Macaca mulatta: one gene and its partners. The protein of the gene in region 3 interacts with the protein of the main gene of each other region in a biochemical or structural test. Links are inferred from orthologs where the notes say so. Each region holds a gene or a part of one and is shown on either strand. Other genes may lie near its edges. The genes, in order: SPARC, THBS1 and COL1A1.

Region 1 (3,643 bases), on a different chromosome or scaffold from region 3:
TTTTCATAACACAGCCCTAGAATCTTTCTCTCAGTGACAGCCTCAGGCAAACCACGTTCTGGTTGGTGGGTTCTGCAGGGACCTCTCCCATCACTGGGCCTCTAGTCCCAAAACCATCCTTGACAACATCGTGTGTCTGTTACTTCCCTTTGCCCACCTTCAGGCCACCTGGGGAAGCCCACAGGCAGCCAATACCCTGAAATGAAATGAACACAAAGTCTGACTCGGTGAGTATTAGTTTCAAACAGAATACTAGAGAGAAAAGTTGAAGCTGCAATGTGTGTTTAAGGCAGAGTCCAGCAGATCCATATCCACCCATGTGCCAATAAGACAATGGGCAAAGCTACAAATGGCAAGAGAAAAATGGGACTATTAATGAGTGTGGAAAAGGCCTTAATAGTTAAGTTACAGCTAAGAATGTCATGTCTTGGGTTAGAATTTTCATTTTTAGCACCGTTAAAGTATTCACTTAAATCTATGTTAGCACCTTGTCCCCAGGCAGAACAACAAACCATCCAAACATTTTAAACATTGGGGGAAACAGGAAGGGGAGGGTTAAAGAGAGAGAATCCGGTACTGCGGAAGGAGTGGATTTAGATCACAAGATCCTTGTCGATATCCTCTGCAAAGCAAGAAAAGATCAGGGTTAAAAATAAGGCTGTGTCGATGATGACGCACTTCCCAAGGAGTTGGTGGACTCCCACCCATCCCCAGGGACAGGGGTCTAGGTGGCCGTCCAAGGTCACCCAGGAAGTCAGTGACGGAGGAACCTCGCTTTCCCTGTCTCTGGCCTTTCCCTGTCTCTTACACACGCTGCCAAGTTACACTTCCTGTTTCCTCTCTGTGTGCCTGCCAGTTCCCAAAATAGTGTTTAGCACAAGGTGAGTGCTAACGCTGGAGGAAGGGAAAGAGAGAGAGACAGTCGGACGGACAGAGAAGGATCAGGAAGATGCCCAACAAACCGGAGTCAAATAGGCAGACAGAGCAGAGACAGGCAGAGAGGACAGACAACAGACAGACCAAGAGAGCAGAGAGTGTGAGGATGACAAGCCAGAACCCTGGGAGCAGTGCTTCTGCCCATGCCCCTTGCTCCTTTGCTCAGACACTCACTCTGCTTGATGCCAAAGCAGCCGGCCCACTCATCCAGGGCGATATACTTGTCATTGTCTAGGTCACAGGTCTCGAAAAAGCGGGTGGTGCAGTGCTCCATGGGGATGAGGGGAGCGCGCAGTGGGGCCAGCTCGGTGTGGGAGAGGTACCTGCAGGGAAGAAGGCAGGAGAGGGCCTGAGGCATGGAAAAGCTCCACACCCAGCCTAGGGAGGCAACCGGGGAGTTAGCCTGCCCCAGAGCGTGGAGGAAAGGATATTTAAAGCAGGACAAAAAGCCAGAATCCCAGGTCTACCCCTAGCTCTGCCACTGACTGCTCTGAGACTCAGAGAACAGCAGTGCCCCATTTGGAACCTCAGTTTCTCCTTCCAGCAAAGAGGAGGAGTTAGCTGTAATCACTAACAGCCCTTCCAGTTCTACGGTTTCATGGGCTCAAAAACAAAGGTCTTTTTGGTGTGTTTGATTGTTTCCCAATTGGCTGAGAACTGGGGGCACAGAAACTTAAAATCAAAATTCAGCACTTCTGCTATGGGTAGATCAAAATCTGGCATAACACAACCCTGTATATTGTCTATGGACACACATTTATATAACTATAAATGCCTAGTAAAGCGTCTAAAAAGCCACACCAATCTGGTGACAGTGCGGCCGTCTGGGAAGGAATGTGGAAAGGGACTGGGATTGGCCGTGAGGGTTAATAGGAGCTCTAACCATCTTCATAGAGCTTTACTTGTGTATCCTGTAATGTCTGAGAGGGAGGTCCCTTGGATGTCTCCCACTGTCCTCCCTCCCTATTCTCCCTGCTGGCCTTAGACTCCAGAGCATGTGTATAATTTTTTTCTTTGTTCCCCAGAGCCCCCAGCTACTTGTCCCTAAAACACTCTCCCCGCCAAGGATCTCCAGGGAACAATGTGACTCCAGTTGTCTTCTTAACCTCTAGACCTCCCAGCCCCACCCAGCTCACCAAAGAAATCACACAATGTTTGAACTGATAGGAACCTTCTCCTCCCCTTCATTGTACTGGTGGAAAACCGAGGCCCAGGGAGGGGCAGGGATGCAGGCAAGGTCACCTACAGCCCTGGGATGGGAGGAGGAAGAAGTGGGTCCCCTTGCCCAGGCTGGAGCCCTTTCCCAGATGTGCAGTCCTTGCACCCCATCTGGAAGCCTCCCTCCAGGCCCTCTGTTGCAGTGGGATCCAGTTGCTTTGCCTGAGCTCCAGATGTTCCCCCTTGACTTTTCCCCTCCCTGCCACAATGAGTGACTCAGTTGGATCCCAGCCATGGCAAGAGCCTGGGAGAGAAGTGGCCGGGAGATTCCCAGAGCTCAGGAGACCCCAGCCCTCGGGATCACTGGCAGGGTTGGCGGACTCCAGGCACACGGGCTGGATAAAGAGCAAGGGGTGAAAATCCTAGAGAGGCAGTTCCCTGAGTGTGTGAGTAGGGGAGCCCTTCCTTTCTGCTGTGTGTGATGCTCTGCTTCCACAACCCAAGGACAAAGTGAAAACAACTCTGGGAAGGTGCAGGTGTGGCTTGCTCTATCTGAGGCTGAGCGGGAGCTCTCACTTCATCACCACAAGAAAAGTTCAGAAGGTAGTGACAGGGTTATGAACAGAGTATGAGTCCATAAGGGCAAGGACCATGCCAGCTCTGATTGCTGTTCAATCCCCTGCCTAGAATAGTGCAGGGCACAAAATGCACACTCAGTAAGCATTTGCTAACTGACCAGCTGCCTGCTTGTTCTGCAGTGCAGTTGCAAGTGCCTCATAACTCATTTGGACAAGGGACAAGAGTCCTCAAACTGGGGGCTCGCAAAATAGATGGGATTTTTTGGATAACTTCCAGGGTCAGTTGCGCCCTGTTGGGGCTGGGCCTTAGGAGAGGGCTTAGACAGTACCAGGTGGCTGCACTGCCTCTGGATGTTCTGCTGAAGGACAGGAAGCATATGGCTGACACCACCTTGTCCCCTGCCACCCCTTGGAGCCTGGTACTCCTTCCTAACTCACACTCCTTCATTATCCAGATATCCACGCCTAGTACTTGCAGGATTATGGAGCTATTTTGAGCTCCTACTGACTTTCACCTCAGCATGAGAGTGTCTTATTGGTTTCTTTCTCCCAAGTCCACATCTTTTCTCCAGATGCCTCATCTTTCTGCTCCAATCCCCAGGCAAACTGTGGATGCCAGGGCTAGAAGCAGCATAGGCTGCTGAGAGGCTTTCTGGCCCTAGCTAGCGCACCTGCCAGCCTGGAGTCATGGCTCTGTCCACTCTAGGGTCTGGGGTCTTACCCATCAATGGGGTGCTGGTCCAGCTGGCCGAACTGCCAGTGCACAGGAAAGATGTACATGTTGTAGTTCTTCTCAAAGTCCCGGGCCAGCAGCTCCACGGGGTGGTCTCCTGCCTCCAGGCGCTTCTCATTCTCATGGATCTTCTTCACCTGAGGGAGTAGAGACCGTGTGTGACAAGAGGTCCACGGAGATTGTCTGGGCCAGTCGGGCCCTCCCACCCCTGCCAGAAGGCCAGAGCAGGCAGAGACTA
Region 2 (4,271 bases), on a different chromosome or scaffold from region 3:
CCTCTTGAGCTGTTAGTGGTAGAAGACATTTCATTTGGTGTGAAGGATGCACGTAGAGGGGTGGCGTGTATGCGCACGTGTGTGTATACATGTGTGTGTGTATGATACCCCTTGAGATCACTTTTGTATGCCTCTTAATGATTTTACTGGGGGTAATTTATGTACAACCACTATTGCTAAATTCCTCAGCTTGTTTTTGGTGGAATTTCCCCCCGATTTCCCTATGTGCTCTAAAAATAGAGGGGTACTCACAGCTGGAGCAGCCTTTGTTCCTGAGGATGTCTTCTGGTGTGGTTCCAAAGACGAACCTCACATTCTGCAGCACCCCCTGTGGGCAGAGGATACACATTACTTGTAGAAAGCTGAGCGGGGTGGGGATGGGGTTGGGAAGGACTGTCTCTATGCTAGGAAAAGCATACAATAGATGTTCTAAAAGCTTCAAAGAGCTGTCTGAAGATCACTATGTCAAAATAACACAGCAACATAAATTGCCAAAAACTTCAAAATCTTAATTGTGACTTCTGCCAAGTCTTGAGTATTTTACAAAGAATTCAGTTATCAGCCTACTTGGGTACACAGGAAATGGAATCTGATCCTAAGCCCAGAGGATATAATGACACTTTCCAGTGTCAAAGAGTTAAATGTGGGAGTTCAAAGCCACCCTTGCAAAGATCTAGAAGTTAAGGCGCAGATGAAGCTGTAACAGCAACAACTAACTGCTATTTTAACCTTTTATGTGAGACCAGCTGCATCCCCATGAGGAATCCAATAGCAAAGTGGTACTGATTCTGCCCATAGAAAGTATCCATTTCAAACAACATTAAAATTGGGGGAATGCATTTGAAATAAGCTATTTTCTTAAGAGTCTAGGGAGTATCTAAGGCTTGAACAGGCTGATTGCTAAAGGAAAACCATTTCTTGTTTCCTTGAGTAGTTTTCAAAGTGTGCTTCCCAGACTACCAGCATCAGCATCACCTGGTACTTGTTAGAGTTGCCGTTTTACAGAATCCCAAACTCTGGGGCTGGGGTGCCGCAGCGTGAGCTTTCACAAGCCCTCCAGGTGATGCTCATGCTGCCTAAAATCTGAGAACTGCTGCTTTAGTTTACAGACAGGATTTCCTGTAGCCCTCCTGGCAGGTCACCTGTCTAGCAGATGATCCCACGGAGCAGGGCTCACAGAAGAAGCCTCACCTGGAAATTGTCATTGACGCCCCCCTTTGCGATGCGGAGTCTGGCGATGCTGGCCAGGTCTCTGGTGAAGACGCTTTGGATGGGGACGTCCAGCTCGGCATTCTCCATCTTTTCACAGTCGATGTACAGCTGGGCCCTGTCTTCCTGCACAAACAGGGTGATGCTCTTCCACTGGCCGGTTGCCAGGAGAGCTTCTTCCACAGACACCACGTGCTGCTTTCCTTGGACGGTCAGGCTGAGGTCCAGGGTGCCCGCCTTGCCGTTGGACACCACGCTGAAGACCTGGCCAGAGTGGTCTTTCCGCTCCAGGGCCAGCAGCGTGCCCCGGGTCTTCTTCATCTGCCTCAGGGAGGCCAGAAGCAGGAAACCCTTCTCGGCCCGCACAGCATCCACCAGGTCTTGGAACTTGTCATCAGGCACAGGGGGGATCAGGTTGGCATCCTCGATGCGGAAAGCTGGGCTAGAAGGGTCAGGACCCTTCACCAGTCGGCGCCCAGACCCCTTGCGGGCAGCCCCGGTGAGTTCAAAGATGTCAAACACGCTGTTGTCTCCCCCAGACTCTGTTAGGCAGGAGAGAACACATGGTGAGCTTTGGAGGCTGGGACCAGCGGTAGGGGGCTGAGTCCTCAGGGGTGGAGACAAAGGGCTGGGGTGAGAACTCCTGGCAGCCACTGAAAGAGCTGAATAAACACCAGGATCAGAGTGAAGCTGCGTCCTGATGTCCAGTCAGGCTCAAGAGCAAAGGAGCTGGGAGAGGACAGCATGTGAAGGGGCACACTTGGGGTAGCCAGCCCCTCTTCTTCGTCCCTCCTTCCCCTAAAGGTGCCACACACTCACCTGGAATGCGGTTGGTGCCGCACACATGCAACAGGAACAGGACGCCTAGTCCCCAGGCCAGCCCCATGGTGGAGCTGTTGGTGCCCAGCAGGGATCCTACAGCAGGAAGCACAAGAGCCCAAGGTCAGAGATCAGTTAGGCAGGGAGGGTGGGCAGAAACAGGGCTGGGCATGGGGACAGGGCCGGTACCATCCCTCTTTGACCCCGCGTTTGCTGAAATGAAGGACAACAGGATTACTTTCCAGAGAGCATGAGAGAGAGAGAGAGAGTGAGAGAGAGACGTGGAGGAAAGAGATGCTGGTTTTAAAGTGTGGGGGGCGCAAGACCAACAATTCGGGGGCTTTTGGAAGTCGAAGGTGAACAAGATCAGGAATGTAGTTTGGAGTTGCAGGGAGGGCACGGGGAAGTACAGACTCTCCCCTGGAGTGCTGATACAAAGGCTTAAGGAGGACTTCAGAGAGTAAAGAAATCCTGGGGTGTCCTGATCAGTTGGTTTGTGAACCCCAAGGCTGGAGAGGATGGCTCTGGAGCCTTGTCCCGAAGAGTCCTCCAGCGGCCGAGAGGGGCGAGCTGGGGCAGGAGAGCGGGGAGAGTGTGGGTTCCGGGGTCCACCAGAGGGACTGAAGCCTCAGCGCTCCAGGTGGATGTCCCCGGCAGCTTTGGTCCTCGGCGGCCGCCGGGGGGGGACTTACCTGTGTGGACCGGAGCGCGGCGGCCGGGAGCGGTGGAGAGGGCGGCGAGGGCTGGAGGGACGCGGGGACCGCCTGTGCGTCCGAAGTGGAGGTTGCACCGGGAGAGAGGCAGGAGCCCTGAACTCGCAGACCAGCTCGGGCGCAGTGGCTGGCAAGGCGGAGGAGCAGCGCGCTTTTAAAGGGGCGCTCGCATTCCTGGGGATTCCTCCGGCCAATGGGCGGCGGCCGGGCAGGAAGCGGGAGGGGGGCCAGTCTGGGCTCCTCTCTCCGCCCCCCGCTGCCTGGCGCGCAACTTTCCAACTAGAAAGTGAAGGGGGCGGGGGTCGGGGCTTGGGAGCACTGGAACTTCTCAGAAAAGTCGGTGCCCGCCCACGCAGCCTTGGCGCGCACGGGCTAGGCGCTAGCGCTCTTGCGCCACGCGGGCTCGGGGTGATCAGCGAGCATCCCGAGCAGGGACGGGGCTGGGGCGACCACCCAGGAGGGCCCGCGGGGTGGGGCAGGGGCTTTCGGGCGAGCCGGTCTCCCGGAATGCCTGGGTGATGGCTGAAAGGTGAACACTAGAGACTGGGCCCAATTTGTAAAAAGAAAAATGGGCCGACGGGGCGCAGGAGACCCCAAGAGAGCCATTCGTTAAAATAGCTGCCCCTCGGGCCCTCGCTGACCTTCTTCCACCGTCCCGGTGGGGTGAGGACACGCGTCCCCCTAGCGCCTGTCCTGAGGTGGCCCCACGCCCGCCCCCGCGGGAGGTGAGCGCGGCGTCGGCGGGGCCGGCGGGTTGTTGAGCCGCGCTGGCCTTCGCTGCCTTCGGGCGCTTTCCTGCCGCGGCTGCCGGGGGCCCACAGAGGCGCCTCTCCCGCTGCCGCGGCGCTCCCTCGGCCGGCCGCTTGGGGGCGGTGTGCGTATTCTCATCAAGGGGCCCGGGGAGGACAGCTGCTTTCTACTCTAATTTTAAGGAACCTTACTCGTATCCAGTTTCCTCAAGCCAAATTGAAATTGTGTCTTGAAAAACAGTTTTTGTGCCCACTCGTGCCTCTTAACGTGACTCCTGTTTGGAGAATTTGCAGAACCATCTGGCTCCAGAGTCTTCAACTATTTACAGAACAGACCCATAGAGTAATAAATTACTCTCTGCCTATTATTGTATTTCCCTCTTTCCTCCCTAAACGTTCTTTTCATTTTTCGGCTCCTGAAACCGAGGTGTGGGTTACATTTCTGTGGGTGCACGCATTGCCATGAGTGCCGCTGCCTAGTGCTTCTGTCATTGAAGTCTGGTCTCCAAGCCACTGTCCCAAGCCAGCATGACTCCAGCTGCCTGGAATTCCATTCATGTCTTCGAGATGGGACGTCAGCAGCCTCGCTCCCGGTGCCGTGGTCCAGCGCTATCGGGCTGGCTCCGAGGCCAGGGCATAGGTAGAAGCTTGACCAAATAAGGATCTCAGCACAGCCAGGGGAAACCCCTGGGGTTCACCTCCCATCTTAGCAGTTAAACCTGGCAGAACTCCCGACTGCTGCAAACAGCCAAGGGTTTACATTCATCAAAGAGCAATTTCG
Region 3 (3,643 bases):
AAGGTAAGATGGTGACACTCCATGACCACAGCCTTGTCTGCTGCTTCCCTGCCCCATCCTGGCCATTCAGCTGGAGCTGGCCCATATTCCTCTGCTCTCCCCCGCCAGGGTGACCGTGGTGAGACTGGCCCCGCTGGACCTCCTGGTGCTCCTGGTGCTCCTGGTGCCCCTGGCCCCGTTGGCCCTGCTGGCAAGAGTGGTGATCGTGGTGAGACTGTAAGTAGCTGGGCTCCAGTTCCCTGTGTCTGGTCAGGCCAGGGACTCTCCAGGCCTCCTTAGAGGCCTGGGGATGGGTGTCGGACTTCACCCAGGCAGGGGGAGGAAAGGAGATCCTGCAAGATGTCGGGGCCTTAATCCAAAAAACTGAGTTAAAGCTCAGCCTCAAGTCCCCTCTCCCAGACAGGACCCCCTCTCCCTTGAGCTGGCCCCAGCTCTCATGAAGATTGCAGTGGGGAGGTTTCCCTGGGAGTTGGGAGAGATGGCCACAGTGGGAAGGGGCTGAGGAGAGAGAGATGCAGCAGGGGGAGGCCTCATCCTGCAGCCCCAGCCTCAGCCTCCCCTGGCCAAGATCTCATGCTCTCCTTGCTCTCCTCAGGGTCCTGCCGGTCCCGCTGGTCCTGTCGGCCCTGTTGGCGCCCGTGGCCCCGCTGTAAGTTCCCTGCTGTGTCTCCCACACCTTCGGAACCCTACAGATGCGGACAGTGCCCCACTTGATGCCCCGTCTCTCTTCTAGGGACCCCAAGGCCCCCGTGGTGACAAGGGTGAGACAGGCGAACAAGGCGACAGAGGCATAAAGGGTCACCGTGGCTTCTCTGGCCTCCAGGGTCCCCCTGGCCCTCCTGTGAGTATGCTCAGCCCCTCCCCAGTCCTCATGCTGTGCTGTATGATAGAAGGGGGAGCTTTGCCTCGGTTTCCCCCTCTGGATAGTCACTCTTACCCCTCCCTAGTGAGGACTGGGGTCTGAAGATTTATGGGCATGTCCAAGAAGCTTCTGAGAGGGTGAGGGGTACACAGAGAGGGATTATGGGAGAGGTCTCTGCCTATGGACACCCTGGGGCTAGATTTCCAGAATAATGAAGGGGCATGGGCTGCCCACGCTGCCCTCGTCTCTCCAGCAAGGCCCTCAGGCTACATTTGACCCTCACTGGGCCTGAATTGCCTTTTTATCTGTCCTTCAGGGCTCTCCTGGCGAACAAGGTCCCTCTGGAGCCTCTGGTCCTGCTGGTCCCCGAGTAAGTCATGCCTTCTCTCTCCTCTTCCTGAGTCCCAAGCCCAGGCTCACCTTGGGGACCCTTGCCAGGGACCCAGGCACCCTTTGCCTCTCTGGAGAAGGGTTAAGGGACAGGGAGTGGACAAAGAGAAGAAGAATCCTGAACAAACAATCTGATTTAGCTTTGGCCTCTCTGCTCCCCAGTCCGTCCTCCCCTGGCTCAGCGGCTGGAGCGAGCTATGGCATGTCCTATGGAAAGAGGCTGAAACTGGCTCTATGAGGCCGTGGAGCCAGAGCCAGCAGGGAGGGTGGTGGGCTTCTCCTCCAGAGCTGGGGTTGTTGGGGCTTCTGGCAGCCTTTCTCAAACCATTTCCCCCACTCCAGGGTCCCCCTGGCTCTGCTGGTACTCCTGGCAAAGATGGACTCAACGGCCTCCCTGGCCCCATTGGGCCCCCTGGTCCTCGCGGTCGCACTGGTGATGCTGGTCCTGTTGTACGTAGCCCCTCATCCCCTCTGCTCATGGCCCTCCAGCCCCCAAAGCACTTGGAAGCCGGTAATCCCCACTCTCCTCCCTCTCTGTGCAGGGTCCCCCTGGCCCTCCTGGCCCTCCCGGTCCCCCTGGTCCTCCCAGCGGTGGTTTCGACTTCAGCTTCCTGCCCCAGCCACCTCAAGAGAAGGCTCACGATGGCGGCCGCTACTACCGGGCTGATGATGCCAATGTGGTTCGTGACCGTGACCTCGAGGTGGACACCACCCTCAAGAGCCTGAGCCAGCAGATCGAGAACATCCGGAGCCCCGAGGGCAGCCGCAAGAACCCCGCCCGCACCTGCCGCGACCTCAAGATGTGCCACTCTGACTGGAAGAGCGGTGAGGGCCTGCCCTAGCCTCCCCCTCCCTCCTACTTCTGCCATGCCAGGGTCCCCATGCCCATATGTGCCCCTACCATATGGTGCTGGCTGCTCCACTTCCCTGACTCCACCTTGCCCTGCCCTACCACAGGAGAGTACTGGATTGACCCCAACCAAGGCTGCAACCTGGATGCCATCAAAGTCTTCTGCAACATGGAGACTGGTGAGACCTGCGTGTACCCCACTCAGCCCAGTGTGGCCCAGAAGAACTGGTACATCAGCAAGAACCCCAAGGACAAGAGGCACGTCTGGTTCGGCGAGAGCATGACCGACGGATTCCAGGTGCGTGAGCTGGACCTCAGAGCCAGTGTTAGGAGATGGGCTAGCCCAGTGCTCAGAAGGGACATGAAGTCCTGGAGTAGGTCTCTGCTAAGGGTGATGGACAGAGCTGGGCTGGGAGGCAGGGGTCCCAGGTCCCTGATAGTGGTTCAGACACAGGCTGCCTATGGGCAGGTGGCCCCTCTTGATATAAGGGTGTATTGGGCCGCTCTCTGAGGACCCTGGACAGGGAGGCCAGGCAGGACTAGAGGTTCCTGCATAGCTGCTCACTCTTCCCTCTCTCCCCTCCCCTGCAGTTCGAGTATGGCGGCGAGGGCTCCGACCCTGCCGACGTGGCCATCCAGCTGACCTTCCTGCGCCTGATGTCCACCGAGGCCTCCCAGAACATCACCTACCACTGCAAGAACAGCGTGGCCTACATGGACCAGCAGACTGGCAACCTCAAGAAGGCACTGCTCCTCCAGGGCTCCAACGAGATCGAGATCCGCGCCGAGGGCAACAGTCGCTTCACCTACAGCGTCACTGTCGATGGCTGCACGGTGAGTGGCCAGAATCCTCAGGCAGGGCCCCACCTCTCTGGCCTTGGGCTTTTTGGGCAGGCCATAGTGTCCTCTTTCCATCACTCCCACGTGGTAATGCCCCCTCCCATTGTCTCCGCCCCACCCCAGAGTCACACCGGAGCCTGGGGCAAGACAGTGATCGAATACAAAACCACCAAGACCTCCCGCCTGCCCATCATCGATGTGGCCCCCTTGGACGTTGGTGCCCCAGACCAGGAATTCGGCTTCGACGTTGGCCCTGTCTGCTTCCTGTAAACTCCCTCCATCCCAACCTGGCTCCCTCCCACCCAACCAACTTTCCCCCCAACCCGGAAACAGACAAGCAACCCAAACTGAACCCCTCAAAAGCCAAAAAATGGGAGACAATTTCACATGGACTTTGGAAAATATTTTTTTTCCTTTGCATTCATCTCTCAAACTTAGTTTTTATCTTTGACCAACCGAACATGACCAAAAACCAAAAGTGCATTCAACCTTACCAAAAAAAAAAAAAAAGAATAAATAAATAACTTTTTAAAAAAGGAAGCTTGGTCCACTTGCTTGAAGACCCATGCGGGGGTAAGTCCCTTTCTGCCCGTTGGGCTTATGAAACCCCAACGCTGCCCTTTCTGCTCCTTTCTCCATCCCCTCTTGGGGCCTCCCCTCCACTCCTTCCCAAATCTGTCTCCCCAGAAGACACAGGAAAC

Evidence for each region.
Region 1: the proteins of COL1A1 (region 3) and SPARC form a complex in vitro, tested with the Homo sapiens proteins (2 studies listed by BioGRID). The link is inferred for Macaca mulatta from reciprocal best matches to the Homo sapiens genes COL1A1 and SPARC.
Region 2: the proteins of COL1A1 (region 3) and THBS1 form a complex in vitro, tested with the Homo sapiens proteins (2 studies listed by BioGRID). The link is inferred for Macaca mulatta from reciprocal best matches to the Homo sapiens genes COL1A1 and THBS1.

What each region holds. Positions count from the first base shown.
Region 1 is NC_133411.1:160,596,787-160,600,429, forward strand, and holds part of SPARC (SPARC), read right to left. Parts: intron 3,543-3,643; coding exon 3,394-3,542; intron 1,260-3,393; coding exon 1,111-1,259; intron 623-1,110; coding exon 594-622; 3' UTR 1-593.
Region 2 is NC_133412.1:16,879,228-16,883,498, reverse strand, and holds the start of THBS1 (thrombospondin-1), read right to left. Parts: upstream 2,871-4,271; 5' UTR 2,721-2,870; intron 2,125-2,720; 5' UTR 2,096-2,124; coding exon 2,029-2,095; intron 1,752-2,028; coding exon 1,192-1,751; intron 329-1,191; coding exon 253-328; intron 1-252. UniProt on the Homo sapiens protein: Adhesive glycoprotein that mediates cell-to-cell and cell-to-matrix interactions.
Region 3 is NC_133421.1:59,821,671-59,825,313, forward strand, and holds the end of COL1A1 (collagen alpha-1(I) chain), read left to right. Parts: coding exon 1-3; intron 4-108; coding exon 109-216; coding exon of another isoform or gene 217-241; intron 242-527; coding exon of another isoform or gene 528-595; coding exon 596-649; intron 650-733; coding exon 734-841; coding exon of another isoform or gene 842-881; intron 882-1,079; exon of another isoform or gene 1,080-1,178; coding exon 1,179-1,232; coding exon of another isoform or gene 1,233-1,317; intron 1,318-1,565; coding exon of another isoform or gene 1,566-1,594; coding exon 1,595-1,702; intron 1,703-1,794; coding exon 1,795-2,077; intron 2,078-2,209; coding exon 2,210-2,448; intron 2,449-2,659; coding exon 2,660-2,936; intron 2,937-3,065; coding exon 3,066-3,466; 3' UTR 3,467-3,478; downstream 3,479-3,643. UniProt on the Homo sapiens protein: Type I collagen is a member of group I collagen (fibrillar forming collagen).